Linked DNA regions of Oryzias latipes. The protein of the gene in region 1 binds, or shares a complex with, the protein of each later gene. Links are inferred from orthologs where the notes say so. Each region holds a gene or a part of one and is shown on either strand. Other genes may lie near its edges.

Region 1 (2,639 bases):
AAGGCCTTCAGCAGGTATTTGCAGAGCAGACTCAAGGCCATGGGCTTTGAAAACAGCTTCACGTCAGGAGTTCCCTGAAGAAATGAAAAATAAGAGGACTGAAAAACAGAAGAAAGACTGACTGCTGTCGGGAACTGCAGGCGGAGGCCTGTACCTCCATGAGGTAACAGTACAGGAAAGGTCCCTGTGACAGGATGAGGTTGGTACAAATACAGCTGGCTACAGTCTGCTGGATGGCAATGAGCTTCTTCTTGGCCAGATCGATGCCAGACAGGAGGCGGTTCAGGTTACTTCTGTACAAAACCAGAAAACACAGATAAGGTGTTTCTGTAATCTGATGCAAAAAGATTTTTTATGAGAAAAAAAAAGTAAAGTTTTGACCTTGAAAGTGAATCAAGGGCCTTAATGAAGTTATCTGTGTCGCTTTCATCTTTTTCAGTGCTTTCTAGCAAGGCAGCAGCAGCGTGCACCATGTCACTCGCCAGGAAACGGTTCTTGAAGCCAAACTGAGCCCCAAATGTCTGGATGCGGATGTCCTTGATACTGAAACCAAGAAAATAAAGCATTCCATCTTTTCTTTCTTTTTTTAAAGCCAGCAAGACAAGTATTTTAAAGCCAAACCCCCACCCGTATTTGTTAGAGGACTCCTCAATAACCTCTCTTAGGTTTTCCTTAATGGACATGTCCATGGAGTTAAATTTCTGTTTCACCTGTTTCAAGGGTAGCCTGGTAAAACAGAAACACACATTATTATCGTTCATGGACTGCTAGCTAAAAATCAGTTAATCACAGTAGCATACCCCATATCAGCCAAATACTCCTGGAGTTTCTTTTGGCCATTTAGGGTCCAAAGCTTGAAGTGGCAGCAGGTGTAGCAGGAGTTACAGATGCTCTCATACAGAGACCAGTGCTGGTAAAGCGTCAGGCGCAAGCTGAGGCACAAGGTTGAAGAAGAAGAAGAAGAAAGATTTGGTCACTGCTGAAACTGAAAACATTTCATATGAAGCAGTGGCCTCCAACCCCTGAACCATAGACCGATACCGGTTTTTGGTATCGGGCCACAGAGAAAAAACAAAACATCCTACATTTTTCCCGTTTTATTCATAACCTCATTTTGAAGGTAGTTTTATTTTGGAAAACTGCAGGATTCTCCAACACATCCGGCTCATTCTTTAGGCATGTCAAACCCTGACAGTCAATGATGTCAAGTCGCTCGGTTACGTGTCGAAACTCCATCAGCTACTTTTATTTAAAGCAGCTGTGCTGATTACCAATTTGAAATCCCCAAGCTAGCAAAGTTAACAAGATCCAGAGAGGAAACAGAAGAAGAGCCTTCGACTTCAAAATAAAATACAGCTCCATTTCATAGAGAAAAATCAAGAGTCTTTACTTAAAAATACAGATTTATTGCAACAGTTGATCCCACACAACTATAAAAAATAATGTTAAATATTCAGCAACTGGCTACTGATAAGGATGCTGCTCATAAAGTTGCTCTAATGGTGAATATTTAGAAAAGAACTTTTTTTTTTTTTAAATCTATCGTACCTTGAAAGCCAGTCGAGGCTAAAATCTGCATCCTTTTTTTTTTAAGCTTTCACTCTGACAAGTATGAGTTAAGGGAAAACCTAAAACACATTTTCCTACCCAAACTCTAGAGTACAAATAAAGTCTAAAGCAGCCGCAGACATTTTAATAAGGATAGACTTTACCCTCAAATTTATTGGGAAACTTGAGGCTAAAAAAAAAGAAATTAATAATAAATTTGATGCCCACTTTAGCACAACACCGGCTCATGAAAATATTGTCTGACATGAAATTGATTCCAGGGCCCGAAAAAGGTTGGAGACACCGATTTAAATTATGTAAAAGTGACTAGAAATGAAATAATTAAAGGAGTTGGGCTTACTCGTATTCAAAAGAGATCCTCATACAGTCGATGGACAGTGAGTTCTCCTCGTCTTCGTTACGGTGACTGTGCCGGGAAACATGTCGCTGCATTGTAGCGACATCCGTCACATACTTCATGCTAAAGGAAAGTCACATGGAGTCACCGCGTGAGCACCCTGATAAAGACACTTTGTTATGAAACATGAGCTGATAATGTTCTTACTGTGTAATTTTATCATGAACCCACTGATCTGTCAGGCCGACAATGGCCCACCTGAAACGAAAAATCAACGTATGTAGCAGACACTGAAACATACTATTTCACTGACTGAAACTCCACGAGAAAGCTCACCAGAGCATGTCTTTGGTGTCTTTAGTCAAAACCCAGGCGAGTTCAAAAACCATCATAGCAGCCTGATGAGTGCAGCACAGAAAAAACAAAAGTGTAGGTTCACTGGGCAGAAACTTTTAAAAATTGTAAAAATAAATACTCACAGATGTCCCGTGGTATTCATACTGCTCATAGTCAAACAAGATTTCCTTTCTGCCAAATGGAAACAGCTAGAATTAAACAAATGCACACACTAATGGAAACTCCAACAGCAGTAAATCACCTTCGAGCCTCCCATTCTCTTCTCACTCGCTGTCTTTCTATTCTCCTCTCCACGGCCCCCTTCAATGAAGCCACAAAGACATGCCTGTGTTATCGTCAGTTCTACCGTACCGTTAGGCCTACTCTTTCAGCTCAC
Region 2 (3,755 bases), on another chromosome or scaffold:
GTGAAAAAGACCAGAAACCCCATTTTCATTGGAGCGAGTCTGTAAAGAAGAAGTAGAGATCCTGTTGTGAGCTAGCTTTAGTTTTTGTTCAAAGTTGAGACGGTTGGAATGATCTGTAAATCAGTTTGTACGGTTAGTGTTCCGCAAACTGTTTTGGTTGTGAACTATTTGATTGTGAAGTTAAAAGCGTCCTCTGGTTGTGTTTTCTTTCAGCCTTCTACAAGGCACACCTCCGTCAGCGTCCTGGATGAGCTCTTTGACTGAAATCTTTCGGGGATCCTCCAGCCAGATCTTCTGGAGCTTCAGGAGTAAAAAGTACTTAAAAAAAAGGTTTCTTTTTCTGTTTGAGAGCTGTTGCCCTTTGTAACTTTGTTTATAAATATTTTTGTTTGTTGTAAAAGATGAAATATTTTTGAAAAGTTGAAATGTTTATATTTTATTGGAAGTAATGTTCGAAACCTGTCAGCTTTTTTATAAACTGAAAGTGCAAGGACTTCTTAGTATGTTGTATTGTTGGCAACATGTGTTTTGTTAAACAGTTTTGTTTATTTTTTTAAGACTCTTATTCAAAAGTGTTGTGTTTGGTGTTTCATCATTTTTGATTTTGTATTTCAAAATGAAATTAAATGTTGTAAAACACAGGTATCGGCCCTGATTGATATGTGTGATGGGAAAACATGTGTTAGGTTTTGAATGATTTAAACATATAAAGCAGTCAACTATATGCTTTAACAACCATGACAGATCATAAAAATAATAGAGCCATTAACCAGAGCTGAAAAAGATACCAGTGATTGCATAAAAATCTCTTACCTCTAGTTTTGTTTACACATTCAATGAGAAAAATTACCTATAAACATGTTTGCTTTTGCATTTTTTTCTATCAAACAAAATGTAGTTTAGGGTTGGATTTTGCCCTGTACCTCCTTTGTCTTGTAGGTTCAGTCTGTTCATGCAAAATCTTATCGTCACATTTCGCGCCATTCCTGACAAACTGGGCGGAAGTTTATCCAGTCACGTGAGACGTTGTCTCCAGCAACTTTCCCGCCACTATCAAATCCCGCCCCTCCTCTGTGAAAGCCGCGAAACTATTGGCTGATGCGATTGTCAGACTCGCGCCACTTTTTGCTCTCCGACCGACAGGAGCTGGGTGCTTGTGAATGAGTTCAGCACTCCAAGAATAGAAAATAAAATATCTATTTAAGCTTTACGTTTGACTTCATCTGGGCTTTGTAGCGTTGCGTTACGAATCATCTGTCGCGGAGCTGAACGCCTGCAGCCATGGCGCGAAAGGATTATGCGGCAGAGAAAGGTAAGGACTTGTGTGTCTGTGGAGAACAGCATGGCAGCAACAGGTTGGCCGGATTTCCTTTTTTGACAAATATCTTTAAACGAAAAGCAAATCGTGTGAAGCTGCATGTCGCTGAACATTTCATATGAAGATTTACGTGTTGATGATGTCATTCATTAGTGAACTTTATCTCATACACTACTTTATCTCACCTGTAATGCCAGTTTTATACTTTTAATTTCTATTTGTCGTGGTTACATTACAGCACGGTGTGTTAGAGTAACCCGTTAAGACATAACTACTCCTAAGATGGTTACTAATAAGTTGGTGAGTCGTACTTCGTTGGAGTTGGTGACTCCGCGGTGACCCGGATGGAGCCTTAAACAAAGGAGCAGGCGCCACACTCAACTTCAACGCACATGCCCTGCGATGGTGGCCCGCAGAAAGTTGACATTTCACAATGTATATAAACAGTCTGCCGCCTTTAACAACAACTTTATCTTTACGTACAAATATGAACGTATATTTTTAACCAGCATAAATAAAGTGCTTTTCATGATTGGGTAACTTCTACAATTTCCCTTTATGGTGAAAAGGCTTTTAAACACCACAAAATCACAGGTTTTGTAGTTCGTGTACACAGAGTCCAAATGTGTGGCCAAAGTAGAGACTCCAGCCTTTTTCCTGAGTGTTAGCATGCTAGCTGCGTAGCTGTTGTGGCGTCCGTGAACGGGCCATTTTGTATTTAGCGCTTCGTGCGGTGACTCAGCCGGCGCTGCTGCTGCTGCTGTAGAGCCGCGCAGTCCGTTCCCTTCCGTGAAAACAGACACGCTAACACTTCAGACTCAGGGTTTTGAACATCTATACAACGTAACTACTGACAGACCCTTTAAAAAACTTGTGTGGCAACAAGCAGAGTCAGGAAAAAACACACACAAGAACACAAAAAACGATGCAACTAAATTGTGCTCAAACACCTCTCAGTGTATGTAAACGGTACTTATTATGCGCCAAACTAGTTTTCATGCTGTTACATGGATAGTTTATGGTCCCCGGGTAAAAATAATTTATGTTACCGTTTTTGGATCAATATATTTCGGGTTTGCGCATGTTTAGAACACCCCTTGGGACTAGTTTTTGCCGTCTCCCCCCTTACCGCTGGGCTATTTATCCTATTAAAGATGCGTTTGGTCGGGGCGGCGTGTACGAATCACTACCCTGCTAGCAGCAGCTAATGATAAAAGATGGCTGGCCGCGGTTAGAAAACAACAGCATGGACTGCTTTTAAGAGCGGAGGAGCCGCGGAGGGATATGAAGTGACGCGGCACAAAAGCCATGTGCTGCTTTGTTTACAATAACATCCTCGACCAGATACGCAATAAAGCCACACTGGCGCTTTCCCGTTGCTACCTACAAGTAAGTTAAATGGTTTTTATCGCCACACAAAGGCTGTTTGTTTGTTAATTCCGTTAGTTCCGCGGTTCTGCTTCCGAAGTTGGGGTTGAAGTGTTTTCAAAAAAGAGGGGCGCCGAAGTGAATGCGCGCTTGTTGTTGTTTTATTTACAACGCGCTCTGAGGAAAATCCGCTCCAGGAAGCCCGTTTGTTGTGTACCCGAAAATCGCGCTAATGTGCGCACCTGTGCGAAAACTAGCTTCCATCAGGGCTCCGGCGGCTAATTGTGTGTTACAGTAGGCAATAGTGACTCATCGAGATTACAGGATGCCATGTTACTCAACAAAGAGGGTCGTCGCAGGACAACAAATTAGCTCCCAGTTTGCAGGCCTGCAGCTTCAAATTGATAATCATTCTGTTATAGGAATATAATGCATAAAACTGTTTTTGCCAACAGCATTCAAACCGCCTTTGTTTGTATTATTAAGACCGGGGATTTGTGTTTTGCAGAAAAGTGCAAAAGGTTCCTGCAGGAGTTTTACACAGAGGACGGCAATGGGAAGAAGGTGTTCAAGTACGGAGCACAACTTGTGAGTACAGCCAATGCACAGCACATGCATTTATGGCAGATGGAGGCGTTTCAGAGAGCGCCTGTTTTCTCTTCTCATTGTCATTATTATTCCAGTTTATCCACCATAATCTGCTTTTTAAATCAACCAACTGAGTCCTTCCCATCAGCTTGTCAACATGCTTGTTTTTCTAATAGCTTTGGTGTGTTTGTGGATAGGTGGCTTTGGCCCACAGGGAGCAGGTGGGCCTCTTTGTGGAGCTGGACGACGTGGCTGAAGAAGACCCTGAGCTGGTGGAGAGCATCAGTGAAAACGCCAAACGCTACACGGGCCTGTTTGCCGACGCCGTCCACGAGCTGCTGCCAGAGTACAAAGAGAGAGACGTGCGTTTTAGCACATTTTTTGTTGTTGTTGTTCTTATTATCTTGTTGCATGGATTATTGCAGTTTGTCTGCAAACAGAATTGTGGTCATCTTTAGTAGTTTTTTGACAATCTTACATA

Evidence for each region.
Region 2: cdc45 (region 1) and mcm7 share a complex: the UniProt entries of both Homo sapiens proteins name them as parts of the CMG helicase complex. The link is inferred for Oryzias latipes from reciprocal best matches to the Homo sapiens genes CDC45 and MCM7.

The regions. Positions count from the first base shown.
Region 1 is NC_019867.2:6,359,183-6,361,821, forward strand, and holds part of cdc45 (cell division control protein 45 homolog), read right to left. Parts: intron 2,564-2,639; coding exon 2,505-2,563; intron 2,435-2,504; coding exon 2,386-2,434; intron 2,305-2,385; coding exon 2,243-2,304; intron 2,165-2,242; coding exon 2,114-2,164; intron 2,030-2,113; coding exon 1,910-2,029; intron 933-1,909; coding exon 801-932; intron 727-800; coding exon 628-726; intron 544-627; coding exon 382-543; intron 294-381; coding exon 155-293; intron 75-154; coding exon 1-74. UniProt on the Homo sapiens protein: Required for initiation of chromosomal DNA replication. Core component of CDC45-MCM-GINS (CMG) helicase, the molecular machine that unwinds template DNA during replication, and around which the replisome is built.
Region 2 is NC_019868.2:6,627,567-6,631,321, forward strand, and holds the start of mcm7 (DNA replication licensing factor MCM7), read left to right. Parts: upstream 1-1,281; coding exon 1,282-1,312; intron 1,313-2,664; exon of another isoform or gene 2,665-2,707; intron 2,708-3,194; coding exon 3,195-3,274; intron 3,275-3,471; coding exon 3,472-3,636; intron 3,637-3,755. Other genes in the region: cohesin subunit SA-1, read left to right, coding at 214-264. UniProt on the Homo sapiens protein: Acts as a component of the MCM2-7 complex (MCM complex) which is the replicative helicase essential for 'once per cell cycle' DNA replication initiation and elongation in eukaryotic cells.